Linked DNA regions of Oryzias latipes. The protein of the gene in region 1 interacts with the protein of each later gene in a biochemical or structural test. Links are inferred from orthologs where the notes say so. Each region holds a gene or a part of one and is shown in the gene's direction. Other genes may lie near its edges.

Evidence for each region.
Region 2: the proteins of msh4 (region 1) and mlh3 form a complex in vitro, tested with the Homo sapiens proteins (2 studies listed by BioGRID). The link is inferred for Oryzias latipes from reciprocal best matches to the Homo sapiens genes MSH4 and MLH3.
Region 3: the proteins of msh4 (region 1) and msh5 form a complex in vitro, tested with the Homo sapiens proteins (2 studies listed by BioGRID). The link is inferred for Oryzias latipes from reciprocal best matches to the Homo sapiens genes MSH4 and MSH5.

What each region holds. Positions count from the first base shown.
Region 1 is NC_019880.2:12,788,318-12,792,612, forward strand, and holds the start of msh4 (mutS protein homolog 4), read left to right. Parts: upstream 1-1,425; 5' UTR 1,426-1,664; coding exon 1,665-1,839; intron 1,840-1,998; coding exon 1,999-2,136; intron 2,137-2,852; coding exon 2,853-3,016; intron 3,017-3,111; coding exon 3,112-3,222; intron 3,223-3,334; coding exon 3,335-3,450; intron 3,451-3,537; coding exon 3,538-3,711; intron 3,712-3,783; coding exon 3,784-3,956; intron 3,957-4,047; coding exon 4,048-4,115; intron 4,116-4,243; coding exon 4,244-4,295. Other genes in the region: vcpkmt (protein-lysine methyltransferase METTL21D), read right to left, coding at 4-76, 162-275, 411-667. UniProt on the Homo sapiens protein: Involved in meiotic recombination. Required for reciprocal recombination and proper segregation of homologous chromosomes at meiosis.
Region 2 is NC_019880.2:13,231,505-13,235,710, forward strand, and holds the start of mlh3 (DNA mismatch repair protein Mlh3), read left to right. Parts: upstream 1-1,325; 5' UTR 1,326-1,518; coding exon 1,519-3,961; intron 3,962-4,082; coding exon 4,083-4,190; intron 4,191-4,206. UniProt on the Homo sapiens protein: Probably involved in the repair of mismatches in DNA.
Region 3 is NC_019874.2:17,861,276-17,863,640, reverse strand, and holds the end of msh5 (mutS protein homolog 5), read left to right. Parts: intron 1-782; coding exon 783-929; coding exon of another isoform or gene 930-971; exon of another isoform or gene 972-972; intron 973-1,054; coding exon 1,055-1,192; intron 1,193-1,271; coding exon 1,272-1,345; intron 1,346-1,418; coding exon 1,419-1,539; 3' UTR 1,540-1,751; downstream 1,752-2,365. Other genes in the region: sperm acrosome membrane-associated protein 4-like, read right to left, coding at 1,863-2,080, 2,167-2,334.

The sequences.
Region 1 (4,295 bases):
TACCTGCTCATAATAGATGCAATCTGCCATGAGGACATAACGAGGGGGAGGCAGGAACTCGGACACATCACCTCCCCTTAAGAGGAAACCCGATTTAACACAAATACACAACTAAATGAAAAAAAACTAAACAGGCATAATATAAAAAACACAGTACAAACCATTTTAGTACCTTGGCAGTTATAGATCCACGACTAACAAGGGCTTGGTTGTCTTTTATATTCACTTTCAGGAGTTTCTGAAGTTCCTCCAGGTCTGTGACAATAACTTGTGCTCTGTAAGTTTAAGATGAAGATGTCACTTTTGACTTATCTTGATTTTTAAACGATGATCTCTCTGGGTAAGGCAAGAATGCTAAGATATAGTAAAAGGGGAAAAATAGCTCCTAAAATAATATCCAGGAATCTCACCCGAGTGTTGCTGCCATCAAACCAACAACTCCTGTCCCAGCTCCCAGCTCAACAACACGCCTGCCAGACCACACGTTGACTCCTGACGGCGGGTCATAAAATTGTTTGGTTTCTAAATATTTCGCTAGGACAATTGCTGCATCCCAAACTACACAGCCGACGTCCCCGACATAACACTGCTTCACCTTCAGAGTGCAACCGTCGTTGTTCTCAATTTCTCTCACGAAATATTCGCTAGCATTCGCATTCGACGCCATGTTGAACCGATGTTTTGGAGAGAGAAAAAAAAACTACAAACTTCCTGTTTAAAACATTTTAGAGTAAAAGGTTAATAGTTTGGTGTGCCAATGACGTTTTCTCACTTTACCTATATCTGTGTTTTTATTGTGCATTAATTCACCAATTAAAATAAATCAGTAAGTTATATTTTGATTTGCTAATGGGCAAATAATTTTAAAATACATGTGAAAATATTTTCAAAATAAAACATTTCCGGCTACGGACTTGGAAGTGGTATTCATTTTTTCTTGTCTGGCCTTTTAAAAATGAACATTTATTGCATTTATTTTTGTAAGTTATTGTAATTTATTTATTGTTTTCTTGATTTGTGGTTACAGTTTTATCATTATAATTATTTTATGCTGTTGTTGTTTTCCTAATACATTTTTATAAACAACATATACAACAAACACGTGAATGCCAAAGGAAAAGAAAGAACAGACATACAATTAACAATGAGCTACAGTTTTTTTTACTACCTCTTCAAAAATTACATTTGTTGAAATGGCCTTTTTTGAAATTTATTTGATAATTTTACCATATTGATATTGCATACATTTCTGTAAAAAGTTTTTCAAGTTTAGGTTTTTAGTTCGACTACTTCCTTTTATGAATATGCAATTTCCCCAATAACAAATGTAGTTTTGTTTAATAAAAAAAATAGATTCCGATTCATGTATTCATTAAACCCGCCTAAAAGTATGTATTTTTCTGAATTGTTGTTCCAGGTCTAGGACTGTTATCATTTCCGACACTGTTCGCCAAGGCTGCCTTGACGGCAGTTGCACCGGTGGACATGCGCAGATGCTGCTACGGGGAAGAGAGCGCCGCGCGCCCAATCTGTGGTTGTTGCTATCTGTCCAGAAAAATACACCTCTCGATTTCCAGTTGTACTGTTTGACACAACTTTTTTACCCTGTGTGAAAATAAGTTTGGAAACTTTTGTCCGTTGTCAAACTTTTGCGATATGTAAACATGTATAATAGTAGCACAGACGAGGTAAGCGGTGGGGAAGCCTCTTTAGGAAAGAAGGGAGTGCAGGAAACGGCCACCTCCTACGGTCCTGCATCACTTTCCTCAGCTTTCTCCCAGCATAGTTTAAATGACAGCAGCACCAGCCAGAGACTATCTATACCAAGACTAACCTCAGGTAATCAATAATATAATATCTCTAACCAAGTTAGTTTAAAGCTAACTTAAAGTAAAAAGATGTCTGTTGGTAACCAGACCAAATGAAATTCTATAATGGGGTCTTTTGCTTTTGTCCTTATGTTTTGAGTGAGTTTGTTGCTTTTTCTTTTGAACTCAGCAGGTCAACGCCACAGCAGCTTCGGGGCAGGGAGGACATGGTCATCAATGCCCGCACCAACTTCAGACAGTTCTTCCTTTCACAGCTATGGAGGAACCCCAAGAGTCAGAAGAACACCCGTGTCTGCTGGGCTCACAGGTTGCAGACACAGACATCACTAGTTAAAGTCCCACTCCAGTCACCTTTTGATCCATTGTAAAAGCGTTCCTAGTGATCTGTTAATTATGAAAATATGCCACTTTTAGGCAAAATAAAGCAAAACTGTGTTGTTTTCGTGGACATTAACTCTGCGGAGTGGCAATAATTCGTCAGAAATTTGCCTCTGAGTGGTGGGCGTTGCTGTTGGAGTAAGCCTGACCTCATTTCCCGTCATCCTTTTGTTTACATTCTCTCCCGCTGGCTCACAGCTCCTCGCAACCCCAAACCTAATATTACAGGTGCAACAAAAATGACGAGCATTATCAGATCTAGTTTTCAGCCAGATGCCAGTTCAAACGAAGAAAACAAAGACGTTCATAGATCCGTTTGTCAATACATCTGAAGTTGATGCATCAGAATGGAGCAGAGCAGGGAGCTCGAGCCCACTAACTAAAGCAATTACATCCCTGCTGCAGCCTTTTTGCAACTGGAGACTGCATTTTTTTATGTCTCAACAATTTGAATAAAGACATTCTCAGAAATGCAATGATGAGCTTAATTTTCTTTATTTACGTTCTCCATCATGAGAAAAATGCCACAAAAGGATGTTAAAAATTCCCAAAGCACGATTTTCACTGGAGTGGGTCTATAAAATGTCCCCATCCAATAACATGCTTGAAATCAATTCAACACTTTTTGGTTTTGGATCGTTTTAGGAAGTAGCTGCTCATCTGGATCCACAAACACTGATGCTTCTGTGATCGTAGCTGTGGTAGAAGGCCGAGGTTTGGCCAGAGGAGAGATCGGTATGGCCAGCCTTAACTTGAAATGTCCAGAGCTGGTACTTTCCCAGTTTGCAGACACAGGAACGTATGCCAAGGCAAGCTCTGTATTTCCTATAAAACTAGCATGAACTGAGAATCCGACATGATGTTGAGCGTAAATGTCTCACGTCTTCTTTTGTTTCCTTTGAAGGTTATTACCAAAATCCACATATTGGTCCCAGTGGAAATACTGATGCCTGACACAGCCTGCGAAAAGGGCAAAGGAACAAAGCTGTTCAAGCTCATCACAGAGAATTTTCCTGTAAAAATGAGAAGTGAAAAAAAAAGCTAATAATTTGTGCTGGAACAATTCACCGAGATGAATCCGTTGGGGTTGTGTTTGCCCTCTTTTCATGTTTTTTTTTTTTTGCCAGGGTGTACCTTTCACAGCAATTCAAAGGAAATATTTTAATGAGAAGAAAGGACTGGAATACATTCAGCAGCTGTGTGCTCCAGAATACGGCACCGTTTTAATGGAAGTTCAAGCCAAGTAAGTAACTGATTTCATAAATGCACAGTGGGAGTTTAACTGGAGCATTGGGCTTTTTTATATTAATCAGTATTATGGTTTGCTCAGGTATTATTGCCTTGCAGCGGCTGCAGCTTTGCTGAAATACTTAGAGTTCCTCCAGAATTCAGTTTATGCAGCCAAGTCTCTTAAAGTGACCTTCAAAGGAAGTGAACAGACTGCCATGATCGACTCTGCATCTGCTTACAACTTAGAGCTGGTGGTCAATAACAGAGATCACAGGTAAGAAAAGGCATTTTTATCCTGTCATTGTAATATATCAGTAAGCCTCTGTCTTTGCTCAACCTTGTGCAGGAGTGAGCATACTCTTTTAGGGGTGCTCAACCATACCAAAACACCTGGGGGTGCCAGAAGATTGCGCTCCAATATCTTGGAGCCTCTTGTTAATGTGGACACCATCAACATGCGATTGGATGCTGTACAAGAGCTCCTGCAGGACGAGGAGCTTTTCTTTGGGCTAAAGAACGGTCAGAAACTAGCTACAAATATTTTGACCACAATTCAAAAACGTATGAGTATCATTAAGTAGAGCATTAGTCTTTCCCTTTTTTTTTATAGCCATCTGCCATTTTCTTGACGTTGACCGGCTGCTGTCAGTTCTTGTCCAGATCCCAAAACAGGAAACGGTGAGTATCAAACTTGTAGTTTTTCTTATGATTGAAACTAACAGTTAATCACCATTACGCCTTTGTTTATTGATTTTTTTGTGGGGTTTTTTTTGTGTGTGTGTTTAACTCTGCTTTTTTTTCTACAGGTTCAAGCTGCTGAAGCCAAGATCACACATGTCATTCAGCTGAAACACACAC
Region 2 (4,206 bases), about 440 kb from region 1:
TTTTTGTTTTCCAGGCTGAGGGGAAGAAACTTGGCTTAGTCGGCTGGGTTCAAAACACCGGTGCAGGAACGGTCCAGGGGCAGCTGCAAGGTCCCTGCAGCAAAGTGAAGGAAATGCAAGAGTGGTTGAAATCCACTGGCAGCCCTAAGTCACGCATAACCAAAGCAGAATTCAGCAATGAAAAAACAATTGATAGCTTAGAACACTCCTCTTTCAACATAGTGAAATGAAATAGGTTCATTTCACTATGTTGTTAATCTTAAAATGCATTACATATTTATTTAGTTTTTAAAAATAATGTTATTTAAATGGTTGTAATAAAACAACCTTATTGAGCTCCATATGTGTAATACTAATGCTGGCACTCCTTAATATCCTATTAAGAAAATCATTTGGTAACAACCTTTACCTGGACTGCCAATAATAAATAAATTGAAATGAATTTAAACTGGTTTTTCTGGTGTTTGTATTTCCACTGATATAGAGAAAAAGAAAATCTAAACTTTATTTTAAAAGGTGCTCCATTTTAAAGGTTAAACACTGTGAATGGGATGTAAAAATAAATTGTCTCAAGTAAATGCAGTCAGTAAAGGATGACGTTAAAAAAGATATCTGTGAGAATAAAATCAGACTCACACAACATACATGGGCAAATTTTTCATTTTATTTTTGTAAGAATATTTTTTTTATTTAGGCCAGGTCACAAGTTTGTAGTTGTCTAAACATAATTTAAACTAAATCTGTTTCAACGTTTAAAAAGTTGAATTTTTGAAGTAGCCTCACCCACCTAAATATATTTCTCCCTGTTTTTATATTAATCACATCATGACCAAATAAATTGTGCTGCACCTACCAATAAAAAAAAAATAAGAGTTTTTATCAGGCTTTCTTCAAGATCCTAGTAATTTTGAATATTCTTTGAATATTATGGCATTTTGTTCATATTTTTGGATTCTAGAAAACAAGATAATACTTATAAAGGATAACTTCACTCTGTTCTGGGAACTTTTTTAACCTTTGTGCTATCCTAGGCACTTTAACATCGGGAGTTGGGTCATCTAGACCCACTAGAAAGTGCTTTGAACCTTTTTTCTTAAATGATTTGTGAACTTCACTGGTGTCCATGGATTACATGAAATATTTCCACCTTTAACCACCTTTGTCATGGTAGGGAGAACACGTCAATGTAAGGGTGGGGTAATCTAAGATAGCACAAGGGCTAACCGGATAGATTTGCCCGGCGACAATTCCACCACTAACCGCTAGATGGCATTGTAGGATTTGGCTGTTAGCTAAAACCTGAGGAAAACGTTCTCATTTTTCAACACGTTGGTTGTAAACAACGACACACTTGCTTTTGCGTTTAATTTATTTTTAAATTGACGTCATTTGCTGTTTTGAAGGCTTTTAAAAAAACGCTTTTGTAATATTTGACCTAAGAATATGTATTCTATTTTTTTTCTAGTCAATGACTTTTAGTTTTATATCAGTTGCTGACTAGTTTTATTTATAGCAGAGATGAAAACAACTCAATGCTCAGAGAAGAGAAGCAGTACAATGATTAAATTGTTGCCTCCAGAAGTTCAGGGGCAGCTTCGCTCCGGCGTCGCCATCCCCTCCCTGCAGCAGTGCGTAGAGGAGCTCGTTTTGAACAGCATAGATGCCGGGGCGACCTGCGTGGGAGTCCGAATGGACCTGGAGGCTTTTAAAGTCCAGGTGATCGACAATGGTGCCGGGATGAACACTGAGAACATGCAGCGTGTGGGAAACAGATATCACACAAGCAAATGCGGCTCTTTGGAAGACCTGGACAACGTCAAATCGCACGGTTTCAGAGGAGAGGCCTTGGCAAGTATCGTTTCTATGGCAACGCTGGTTGAAATCTCATCCCGTTCCCGGGCGTCTGCCAAAACCCTCGTGAAGCTGTTTAAAGACGGGAGGGGCGTGGATGTATTTGAAGCAGAGACTGTTAGACCCTCTGCGGGGACAACCGTCATCGTCTGTAACTTCTTCCACAACATGCCGGTGCGGAGGAGGAGGCTGGATGCTGTGCTGGAGGGGGAACGGGTCAGGCACAGGGTGGAGGCCGTTTCCCTCATGAACCCGTCTGTGTCCTTTACCTTGAAAAATGACTCCACTGGAGCCATGATGGTACAGCTCCCAAAAGCTAAAAGCACCTATCACAGGTTCGTGCAGATCCACGGTCTCACACGAGCAGAGAAGCTGGGAGAAATCTGCTACAGCCACAAGCAGTTTGAAGCAGTCGGTTACCTTGGCAAAGAGGGACACTACAATAACAGCTTGCAATTCCTGTATGTCAATGAAAGGCTGCTGTTGAAAACAAGGATCCACAAGCTGTTGAACCTCCTACTGCGCAGATTAAAACAAAAACCGGACCCCTCAGATGGCCCTTCTGTCATTAAAAGTCCCAAGAATAAGCAAAGCCATGAGCTTTTTGGCGTCTACATCCTCAACATTAAATGTTCTTATTCAGAATATGATATCTGTTTTGAACCAACCAAAACTCTAATAGAGTTCAGAGACTGGGATGAGGTTTTACTCTGCGTTGAAGAGGCAGTCAGAGCTTTCCTGAGGAGGGAGAACTTGATGTCAGAGTTTTCTCAGGAGGACTTGGACTGCGAGTCTTCACGAGTGTTCTGTGCCTCCAAAGCAGATCAAGAGGAGGACCAAACGAGAGCGGCACCCCCAGACATTTCCGCCACGGACTGCCACCATGGAATGAAACTTGCATCTGAACTTGTTCATCGTAGGAGTACAGATGATGGGGTTTGCCCAGAGTCTGGTCTGACTAAGAGCAAAACTGATGAGACCGAAGAATCAGGACAAACGGGTGCATCTGAAAATGAGTCACAAACGACAACACAAATTGAGTCAGAAGACGGTGGAGTCGTTAAAAATGCAAAGATGCCAAATGTACACGAGGTTGGGTTTTCAGAAGATGTGAGGCAAAGCGTTAACTCGCCAAAACAGCTAGTTCGAAATGACTTCAACCATAAAAAGCCAACAAGGAATGTACAAGTCGCAGGCAGGCTACAACAGTCCTTAGCAAGCAACAGAAAGATCAGTTTGTCTGAATCAATTGTTCAAGATAATCAGCTAACTAACAATTTCACGTTTCCATTGCAGACGTTAGGAGGAAATAGCCAGAATAAATACTTTGCACCAAAACGCAAAATCTCTCTGAATGCACCTCAGGAAAGATCCACTCAAAATCCATGCAGAGACCCTTCTTTTGTCCCCCCCACAAAGATTTCCAGAATTTTTCCTTGTCAGAAACTGTCTGCATTTAAGGAATCCGGATCCCTTGACAAGTTTAGACAAATGTATGCCCATTCTGGTGAGATGAAACTACCTCGTCAGCATTTACAGAAAGATGCAAGAGGTCCCCAGACGTCCAGCCTTGTCTTAAATTCCTCAAGTTTGTCTGTTTGCAGCAATGATTGGAAGGAACGTACAACTGCTGAGGTGCAAGGGGATAGGGAGAAACAGAGTTCCTCCCAAAATCTGTCATGCTTTCCTGCTAGGAAAACTCAGAATAAAGACAAATTATCTTTCTCTGCAAAACTCTCCCAGTTAAAGGAACTGAGGAAAGAAGAGGCAGAAGTTTCTCTGCACAGGCCCAGCACTATGTTGGAGAAGAAAATCTGTCTTAGCAGCTGTAATAAAGGCACAGAGGAGGAAAGCAGCAGTCAGAATCCTCAAGATACTGCAGTGCATGCTGGGTCCACCCCGCACCGCAGTACAAGTCCTCTTCAGGCCGGGGCTGAGGAGGATTCAGCATCTGGCACTTGGCTTCACCACTACAATACGTCTGTCGGAAAGACCGTTTATATCAACAGAGTGACCGGGCTCAGCAGATATGACAACCCAGCCGAAGAAACGCAAGTCTGCTGCACATCCGACGTCACCAATATGGCAGTTAGTGTCATTTCTGAAACGGGTGAGTTCTCAAATAACCCTTCAGAGAAACCATAATATGTAAAAAAAAAAAAAAAAAAAAAAACAGTTTATGAGCAGAAAGTTGTTGTTTTTTCTTGGTGTTTGCTTTCCTGTGCTTGGAGCTGTAGGGATGGAGTACAGGTGTTATCCTTTTCAATTGGATGTAGTGTTGCCTTTCCTGCCTAAATCCAGGTCGGAGAGGCTGATTAGCTCAGGGCTTGATTGCGGAGGTACCACACTGACAGA
Region 3 (2,365 bases), on another chromosome or scaffold:
ACACTCAGATCAACCAGAAATTAGTCAACCAATGAAAGAAAAAGCAATACCAGCTGTTGACTCCTGCAGATACGCAGATGTGTCTTTTCTTAACGCTGCAGTGAGTAGAGCCATATCTGAATTCCCTCACTACTCCCTAAACACCTAAAAGACTACAGTGCGTAGTATATAGTATTGTCTAATGCCCTGGATGTTGATGCAATTCGGATGCTCTCTACTTTTTTTTTTTCAAGCCAGATTTGATGTCTCCAATTGGTCAAAGTAAAACCTAAAAAAATGAACATTTCTGGAAGATTCTTTATGAATCCACTGAGTTTTAATGATGAAAACTGGGATGATTTATAAAAAATAAATGTATATAAGTTTTTCAGATGACAAATTGTTCAACAGCAATGCATTGTGGTCTATATTTACTAATCTAGTGTGCATCAATGCACTCTAGTTTTTTGCAAAGACTTCTGGGAAATTTCCAAGGCACTGGATTTTGGAATTGTAGATTTGAACAGCTCTACAAAATGGCAAACGCCCTATACAGTATAGTGCACTAAGTAGTGAGTCAGTGTTATGACTGTTTTTGACAAAAAGAGCTTAATTCACCTGTTTCTTTTTGGGAGCTGCAGAAAAGTCCAAACTTATACACCTATTTAAGGAAAATACCCAACCTGTTGTCGTTTTTCATCCTAAAGTTTAAAGGAATTATTCATAGGAACAGCTCAGTCACTAGATTCTGTAGTTTGCAGAAATGAGGGTGTTGCTGGGAAATGTATGCTGTTTCTGCTCAGGTGGATGGTCTGTCTTTGCTGGCTGCTTCAGTCTGTCACTGGCTGAGGAAGGCTCCTGTGGATGTTCCTCACATCTTGCTGTCTACTAACTTCCACAGTCTGCTGCAGCTAGGCCTGCTGCCAGCGAGCAGAATGGTATCTTTTCTGGTATGGTCAGAAGCTCATATAGAAAAACACAATTTAGCCTGAGGTATTTGTCTTTTCTAATGATGCCATCAAAGCCCACAGAGAAGTTGCCTGCATGTCTGTCTGTCCATGTGTGTGTTGGTTAGACCCTGGAGACTGCCGTGGATGGAGATGAGTTGGTGTTTTTGTACCAGCTGAGGGAAGGAATCTGCCAGTCGAGCTACGCAGCCAATATCGCATCCCTTGCAGGGCTGCCAGCTCGCCTGGTACACAGAGCAGTGGAGGTAAACACTCATAAACGTCCACCGGGGAGAGCTCACAGACTTTACAGTGCGACCGACTGTCGTTTCTGCCTCGCGTCAGGTGTCGGAACATTACAGAACAGGAAAGCCCATCAAACGCACCCAGGGAGCTTCGTCTGACGAAAAGGAAAAGAGGTTTGCTGAACTTCTGAAATGGCTTTATATGTCTGTTTAAGTGAAACAAAAAATAACAATTTATGACTGACAGGTGCAAGATTATGGTGGAGAAGTTCCTGAGCCTCGACCTGGACAACAAAGATTTGGACCTAAAGAGTTTTATGAAAGAGGAAATCCTGCCCTCTGCTGGAGAGCCACAGAACTCCAGCTGAACTCATCCACTGTTATTTTGTCCATAAATGTTTCAGGTTAAGAGCAGAAGCACAAAGAACACATGATCTCTGTTGGAGTGAGAGAAACGTTTTATGTTCTGTGTATGTTACAAAGGTTGAGGTTACAAAACAGGAAAGGACATTTTATTTAACGTTTTCAAGCATTTTGTGTTGAAAAATGATCAAATAAACAGATATTTTTGTTTTAACGGTCCAGTTTCTGCAGATTCATTATTAATAAATACAAAAATGAAGACATTTTTTGGAGGTCTGAGCATGTGGTTCAGTCGTTCTCTCTTTAAAAACAAACTAATGAACTAAAATTAGGTTGATGGAACAGTGAGATTCAAAGTAGTTATCAAAGCAGTGAGATACAAGAGTGTGCATGTAGTAAACTGGTCTGCTGAGTTGCAGTAAGGCGTGTCACAGCAGTATTTGGTCATGGCAAAGACGGTTCTGTTAGGAAAGAGCTCCACTGTCGTCTCCACCCCACACTCCTCCGCCATAACACAGCCCAGAGTCTTTATATCCAGAGCGTCAGCTGAGGAGGGAGAGCAACATCCAGCATTTCGACCCAGACATTTCCATGAATGAGGAACAGAAATAGCAAGCTGGTGCTCATCTTACCTGCTTTCCCACGGCCTGTGTAGCAGAGCTCGCCGCGGCTGCAGTTGGTTTCCGTGGTGTAACAGGCATCCCAGAAGCCCAGGTCACAGCGGAAACACTCCAGATGCTCTTCATCGTCTTCTAATCCTTCTGACTCCATGAGCTGCTCTGGCTGCTCCTCTTCTACACCTAACATCCAAAGAATTTTCACATAATTTAA